2 linked regions of the Xenopus tropicalis genome follow. The protein of the gene in region 1 binds, or shares a complex with, the protein of each later gene. Links are inferred from orthologs where the notes say so. Each region holds a gene or a part of one and is shown on either strand. Other genes may lie near its edges.

What was found.
Region 2: the proteins of dcc (region 1) and mapk1 are in contact, whole or in part, in a crystal structure (PDB 3O71), measured with the Rattus norvegicus proteins. The link is inferred for Xenopus tropicalis from reciprocal best matches to the Homo sapiens genes DCC and MAPK1. Residues at the interface, in NP_036973.1 of Rattus norvegicus: Arg1149, Pro1150, Pro1151, Asp1152, Leu1153, Trp1154, Ile1155, His1156; in NP_446294.1 of Rattus norvegicus: Glu107, Thr108, Leu113, Gln117, Leu119, Asp122, His123, Tyr126, Phe127, Asn156, Thr157, Thr158, Cys159, Tyr314.

What each region holds. Positions count from the first base shown.
Region 1 is NC_030677.2:204,366,150-204,370,494, forward strand, and holds the start of dcc (netrin receptor DCC), read right to left. Parts: upstream 2,864-4,345; 5' UTR 2,368-2,863; coding exon 2,277-2,367; intron 1-2,276. UniProt on the Homo sapiens protein: Receptor for netrin required for axon guidance. Mediates axon attraction of neuronal growth cones in the developing nervous system upon ligand binding. Its association with UNC5 proteins may trigger signaling for axon repulsion.
Region 2 is NC_030677.2:154,036,394-154,040,214, forward strand, and holds part of mapk1 (mitogen-activated protein kinase 1), read left to right. Parts: intron 1-1,765; coding exon 1,766-1,897; intron 1,898-3,821. UniProt on the Homo sapiens protein: Serine/threonine kinase which acts as an essential component of the MAP kinase signal transduction pathway. MAPK1/ERK2 and MAPK3/ERK1 are the 2 MAPKs which play an important role in the MAPK/ERK cascade.

The sequences.
Region 1 (4,345 bases):
GGGGAGCCGGCCGTCGGCCTATACAGCCAGTCAGTGGCCTTCTCTAATGGCTAAATCATTCAAATTAAACCAGCCTTGGGGGCCGCTGCCCCCCTTTCCATCAAGGCCGACCTGCCCCTTATAACGCTGCTAACGTGGTCATAAAATCAATTCACCATACCACGTTGCATTTTTTTTAATAATAAACACATGGAAATGCTACAGCAAGCACAGTAGTATTGATTTCGGGGCAAATGAACTGAGGGGAACCCAAGCACCAAGGCAACCTGTCTTTCCCGAGGGGCCACGTGTGCAACGTTGGTCTATATCGGAATTACCCCATTCATGGGGAGGGATTTCAATATCCCTATAATTCAGGCAAATGTATCCAATGTTGGGTTTATTTGCACCAAATGCCAATATCAATAATACATCATGGGTATGTATATAAGTAAGAAACCCCTTGCACTAGGGATCCCCACTACAAAATATATAAACTCATATACCACTCAATATTAGCCTAACGCGTTTCATGCTTACCCAGCACTTAATCATAGGCTCCAACCTCAAGTCCTACAACTCCCATCATCCACCCTCAAGCAAGTATTTACATTTCAACAATAGCAAGAAAATGGGCGTACCTTACTTAAACCCCCTATATTAATTGGGCTATTGAGTCTCGTTGGCACTGAGATTTCATTACATCTCTATTCAGATGTATGTTAGTAATACTCTCGTACCCTGTAGGAGGGGTAAAACATGTTTTCATCCAACCCACCCCCCACGCCCAGACGTGTTTCCCACTGTACCCCAGGTATAAGACCGTATTCATAAAGTAATAACAATTTTCATTAATATCATTGGGTCATACATGTTACCCCAATGGAGTGTGTGTCTTGGCGATCAAGTGAAGAATAAACCACTATTTTAATGATGAATAATAATAAATATTTTCTAATAATATTTCTATATTATATTTTCTATAACAAACAGAACCATTTACAAAGAAAAACTCAAAAAAGGCTGAATTGATTGGCAAAGCGGTGCCAATTGGCTCCCCAATGCTAAGGAAGTTTGAGTAAAAGAGCCGCAATTGCACCCCGGCCCCTTTAGTGGGCACCTCCTGCTGGTGTCTTCCTTTCACTACTATCACTTCTCCCTCCCCCCTGGCTCTCTGGTTGGAAAGAAAGAAAATAGCTCACTAGAAGGAGGGCTGGGAGTGTAAAGATTAATGAGAAGAGGCCAAGCAAAAGCTCCGGTGCCTTTACAGCTCCATTGCACATTTCCCAAGCCTGGATGCCAATGGTTGCTTCCGGTTCCCCCAACTTTTACATTTTATTTTTCTTTAATAATACAACTACATGTGTGTGCTGCCCGGCACCCTGGCATGAACTGCGCTGAGCAGTAGAATTCTACCAGAGCCGGTCGCTGTCCACTTCAGCACCATGTGAATGGACCCATCCATTGTATTGCCTCCTACAGCCCCAATGTGTGCACAACCCTTGCAGCTCAGTGTGCCATATACACAAATACAAGCAGTATATACTGTCACCTCAACCCCCAACCCTCAGTATCACAGAACTATAACCATCGTGCACTACACCTAGGTGCAACCAAGCTCTTGGTGACTTGCTACTTGACTTGATATTCCAGTCCCAAGCATTAGCACTGCGGAGCATGTTTGGGCAATAAAGACGTCCCTTATATGACACACACACACCCCATTGTCACATGTGAAATCACTAGCGAGCCCCCATTCATTCCACTAGTTTAATAGCATGAATTGGCACGCACAACTTTATGTAGTTGTGCCAGAACGCACCGTGCCCCATTATAAACCACGCTCCGCCGTATATAAATAGTCCTATTTGGCCCGAAGCCACCATTCTCTTCCAGATCTTGCAGGATAAGGAGAAGCTGTGAAATATACATCACTGGGGCTGGCGGAACGGTTTTACAAAACCAAAAATGTTTAAATTATTCACTTCTATCTTTAAAATATCACTTCGGCTCTAGGGACGAGGGTCTTAATAATTCATTATAAGATCTTGCTGCATTTTTTTTTCCCTTCTACTGCTTGTTAATATGTATGTGTGTGTATGTGTGTGTGTGGGTTTTTTTCCCCTTTAAAATACTGCAGCATGGATGTGAAGTAAAGAGGAGAAATGAAAGCTGCTATTCCTTCTCCAAACAAGCAAAGTGCAGAGAATCTCTATGAAATCGCTCCTCCGGGAGCCACACTGAGGGTCCTGGTTCCTAGGCTGGGGATGGAAGGGAATGCCGGAGATGTTACTTACCGGATACCGGGAGATTTAGGCTGAGCAGAGCGAATCCATGCAGGAGAAACACCAGCTTTGGTAGTGAATAAAATCCAAGACTATTCTCCATATTTCAGCAAACACCTCCCGATTTGTGTCCCAATTCCCAAGCACACTCATGCACACTCAACCCTGATTGCCTTAAATATTCCTGGTCCCTTGGCGGCTTCAGCAGGCAAAGTTAATGCTGGTCCAGTTCAGCATCAGCCCTGATGTACCCCCTTCCAAATAGCAAGTAAGTAGGGGCAAGCTTGTAGGGTGGGCTGAAGGTCCCAATGAAAACCATCCAAAGATAAAATCCTCCAGAATTAGATCCAGGTGCAGAAAATAAATCTGTAGAGGAGTCCCATGTCCCCAGTGCTGGATAAAAATAAAAATCAGCTTGGTAAAAAAAGGGGGTTATTAATAAAAAAAAAAAAGAAAAGCACAGGAGAGACTGATGCTTCCTCCTTCCCTGGCAGAGGAGAAAAAGACAGGGGCTTTAAAGAGCTCACTTGTTACTAGAGCAATCCACCAGCAGTGTATGTGAGCTAAGAATCAAATGTGTTCACCCATTGATCCACAGAAAGTGAAGAGGCTGGAGAGGAAAACAAGGAGCTGGGAAGCGCAGGAATGGGATGGAATGGGGATTGCGGAGGGGACAGCACTGGCTCCACTGGCTCTATACGGATTCTTTGTTCAGTCGCCAGTATGAAAGCATGAGCGGGGGCGCCCTCTGTCGGCGGCTGCTGGGAATGGCGGCAGCGCAGGGAGAAACGCTGGATCAGTGCGCGTCTTGCAGCTGCTACTGGGTCTTTACTGACAGCCCAAACAGGTTCCGAGCAGTTTAGATAATATGTATTATATATATATATATTATATGGAGGGAAAGGAGGAATGAGAGTTCTGCTGGCTGTCTGATCCTGCTCTCTCCTACAGGATACAATAGGCTGGGAGGGAAAACCAGAAATTCATTCATGTCATAAAAATGTCACAGAGTTACACTTTGTTTCATTCTGTGACTGGGGCATTAGCAGCATGGGGGGCTCACTGGGGCTCATTAACTACCCACAGACGCGCAAAGATGAACGCAGTTCAGTGCAAACTGACACTATTGGTTAGTATACAGGTATGGGACCCCTTATCCAGAATGCGAAGGACCGGAGAAGGGGTCATTCTGTAATTCGGATCTGCTACCTTAAGTCTGCTAAAAAAAAATATTTAAACAGTAATTAAACCCAAAAAGGCTGTTCTGCCCCCAATAAGGGGTAATTATATCTTAGTTGGGATCAAGTACAGGTACTGTTTTATTATTACAGAGAAAAGGGAATCATTTAACCATGAAATAAACCCAATAGGGCTGTTCTGCCCCCAATAAGGGGTAATTATATCTTAGTTGGGATCAAGTACAGGTACTGTTTTATTATTACAGAGAAAAGGGAATCATTTAACCATTAAATAAACCCAATAGGGCTGTTCTGCCCCCAATAAGGGGTAATTATATCTTAGTTGGGATCAAGTACAGGTACTGTTTTATTATTACAGAGAAAAGGGAATCATTTAACCATTAAATAAACCCAATAGGGCTGTTCTGCCCCAATAAGGGGTAATTATATCTTAGTTGGGATCAAGTACAGGTACTGTTTTATTATTACAGAGAAAAGGGAATCATTTAACCATGAAATAAACCCAATAGGGCTGTTCTGCCCCCAATAAGGGGTAATTATATCTTAGTTGGGATCAAGTACAACTACTGTTTTATTATTACAGAGAAAAGGGAATCATTTAACCATTAAATAAACCCAATAGGGCTGTTCTGCCCCCAATAAGGGGTAATTATATCTTAGTTGGGATCAAGTACAGGTACTGTTTTATTATTACAGAGAAAAGGGAATCATTTAACCATTAAATAAACCCAATAGGGCTGTTCTGCCCCAATAAGGGGTAATTATATCTTAGTTGGGATCAAGTACAGGTACTGTTTTATTATTAGAGAGAAAGGGAATCATTTAACCATGAAATAAACCCAATAGGGCTGTTCTGCCCCCAATAAGGGGTAATTATATCTT
Region 2 (3,821 bases), about 50 Mb from region 1:
GCCCTTCAGGTTGATTTTGGCAAATTATCTGCCAGTGTATGAGGCCCTTCGACATGGCCCTACCCTGCCAATATCTTGCTGAAAATTGGGGAGGTTTGAATCGAGGACTTCATTGACTTGTTGATTCGACCACTCCAATGCTTGTATTCCTGTCATTATGGTCTGATCATTTGGCCCTAGGTTCAGCCCAATATCGGTCACCTCGGTTAGGCATATCGGGAAAGAATCTCCCCGATAGAGGTTCCCAGTATGTATAAAAAGGTGATGTAAGTTGAGAGTTTTTAGCCCTAGTTGTGCCTTATTCATTGTGGTCTCCTCAGCAAATGAAGCTACTTCTATATTCTAGAATTCCAAGCAGTGCAACAGCCATTGGTACAGCGAACCTCCTTCCCCAGCTAGGTGTGTGTGTGGATTAGGTTTGGATGTGCCACAACGGCAGCTTGCTTGATTCATTAGGAAGGCACCAAAACCAGCTGGCCGTGAGACAGTACTGATCTTCACATGGGACATAGCATTGCTTTTGACATAGTACCCTTTTGGCAGTTTACTTTCCAGAATCCAGAAAAAGTGGGCAGTCTTTCTTAGCTGTTAAACTGTAGGTGAGTAGGTTCTCAGTCAACATGCTTTTGACTCCCTAGTTCAGCAGAAGCTGCCAGAACTTTTTGGTGGCAGCTCGGAATCCTCTGTTTATGAGAATAGATGCTGTGGTCATTTCATAATTGTTCTGATTTTCATATGCACCAGAGGTTACCTCTTTAGATTAGAGGAACAGAACTTTGGAACAGAGTAGGAAATTTTTCATGGCGAGGGCAGTGCGGTTGTGGAATACCCTGCTGAGTGAATTTATGATGGCAGATTCTGTTAAAGGGGACAAATACTATACATTTTTACAATGCACTCAACCATGTAAAATAATGTCAAATAGAAGTAAGTGCGTTTATTTTAATACCTTTTGGTTCAAATATGCCCATAACTGCTTGAAAACTGTGCTCTACCCAGTCCTTTTGCAAGCTTCCGGTTTAGACTCTTCAGTATGTGGCTGGGGCCCTGATAGACTTCAGTAACAGAGCAGCAGCTACTTAAAGTGCAGTGAATATGCATAGGGTGGGCAGGGCTTTGCAATGTCACAGGCAGTCTGTTCCTGCTCCAGCTATATAGTTTATAGCTACGTGCGTATATACGTGCATAGATCGGTATAAAGTGTGTGTATATATGTGCAGAGGGGTTCAACTTGATGGACTTTGGTCTTTGTCTTTTTTTCTCCAACCCAATCCGTAATCTATATAAACATGGTTCCATTTATTCCATTGCTTGCGAGGGTCAATGAGACCATAAAGAACAGCAGTAGGTTATCATTATAGGCACTGACTCCTGCTTGGTAAAATTTATAGCAACACTGATATTGTATTGCGGTCCACCTTTATTGGACAGTATTGTATTGCAGACCACTTTTTGGCACCCAGCTTAAAAGGAGTCTAGCTTTCATAAATATAATATATTAGAAGCAACGAGGGGTTCTATGACCATATAAAGGCACAAGGATAAAGGTCATTTAGGTCATGGACCTCTGACTTGACCCTCATATTAAAGAAGGGGTATATTTTATCATGTTTCATGCAGTCACGTGACACAAATTGCATTAGTAAGCACTTGTTATAACTGATTACATTACTAACAACCATTTCTAAGAATATAATTTACATGATTTTCATGGTTGCTGTGTCTTATAATTGTATGTTTAAGTTAACTGTTCCGTATTTTTCAGGAATTCTTGGATCTCCATCTCAAGAGGACCTAAACTGTATAATCAATTTAAAAGCTAGGAATTACTTGCTTTCCCTTCCTCACAAAAATAAGGTGCCATGGAACAGACTTTTCCCTAATGCAGATCCTAAAGGTAATTTGAATTCATTTTTTGGTTGGGGGTGGGGATGAAAGGGAAAGATTTTACTGTTCCAAGGAATAATATATTTTTAAACTGTATGCCACTTGTTTCAACCTATTGGTTGCATTAAGTGCTCTGTTAAAACAGTCGTCAGAATTAGTAAGAGATTGATGGTTTTTCATAAATTAAATGCATCAGGGACAATAATTTCCTACTGTCTGATATAGTCAAACCAGGAGCTAAGCTTTGTCAGTAATGTGTTCTCTAATACTTACTTTATGATGCAAATTATATTTAATAGAAGGTTTACTATTAGTCTACTTCTGCTGTTTTTAAAATCAATATACTGGTCGTTTACAAAGATCCATTAAGCAGGTTTGAACATTGATTCAACTGAGTAGGCTGAAAGAAGCGGTAATACAAGTTTGTGTATTTTGAATCTGACTATACAGTAGATTGATCCTTTTGTTTATTCCTATATTTTGCTTTGTGTTAATGTTATCCAGCGTACTGAAATATTTTTTACTGTGACCATTAGAAAGATTTACAGTTTTAAGCATATAGCCAGTGTTGGCTATAATATTGTAGCTACCATATTAAAGGAGAAGGAAAGGTAAAAAGTAAGCTTTTTAAGAAAGGTCTATGTAGATACAGCCATAAACACTTGCAGAACTGCTTCTCTGAGTCCTCGGTGAAAAAAAATTAATTTCTTTCCTTCTATTCTGTATACATGATATTCTGTGTCAGACTTCCTTCTCTTGGAAAAATCCTTTAGGACACAGCATAAGTCTGCTCAGTTTGCTCCTCTTGCCCTCCCTTCTGCTCTCTCTCCCTTGCCTCTGTACTGTAATCTTAGTTGAGAGCTGTTCCCTGCCTGTACGCTGCTGCTAGGAAGTGACGTCACACCAAGCTAAAATGGCAGCAGCTTAAACAAACAGAGGGCTCTTCTAGGGCTGTTTACTCAGGTATCATAAAGAGTTCTGAAGAATAAATATAGTATTCCAGCTCAAACTATTGTGACTAATCTATTGGCAATAAAATGCCTGAGTAGCTTTTCTTCTCCTTTAGAGTAAGTAAAGCCTAAAAACATCTGCATTGGAGTTTACCACAAAGTGCATTAATTTGCAGTCTCTCCACTTGTCAGTTCAAACCTGCCTGCAGAATAGGGCATTTTTATATTGCACTGTGTCTTCTAAACTATCTTTTATAAACCATAAGCCAGGCAAATACTTACCTGCACAATTGATTCATGGGGCACTTAATAGAAAAAGATCAGTTAGCTCCCAATTCTCCCTACTGATATGTTGTCAAAGAAATTCTAGCTTTGGGGGGAATCAAGGTGCTCTACATGTTCAGCATGAAATGTTGGTTAACAAGGGGTTTGTAAACGAATTAAAAGAGATTTAAGGGGGGGCGTGGCCTGCATGGCTTCCTGAGTGGACATGTGCCTGTGAGCTCTATCGCAACTATCCTGAATTTGCCTCTCTAGGCGACCTTACACACCAACATTTGAGCCACGATACAACATCTGACTTCATATAGATTATGGGTGGCAACAAGGCACAAATATCATGAGCAGAAGCCGCTGCCAAACTGGGACAGTTTTTTTGACAGCCTACACAAGATGGCGGCACTACCCCACCCAGAGAGGACAAAGAGGCCCATGCCCCGTTTCCTCTACAGGAACAAGCAATCCAGCTTGTCCTTGCAGCTAACAGACAGCCGAGTAGCTTTATCCTCCAAGCTTGAGGAGGTGAAAACTGACCTCTCACTTCTCCAAGCCGACCTGCAAATCTTGAGAGAAAGAACAACAGAGGCAGAGGGCCATATATCAAGGCTGGAAGACGCCTGCAACCCCCTGACAGCAAATGTGCAACAGCTCCAGTCGCAAAGTAAGCAACTAGCGGCGAAGCTGAATGAATATGAAAACCGGCAG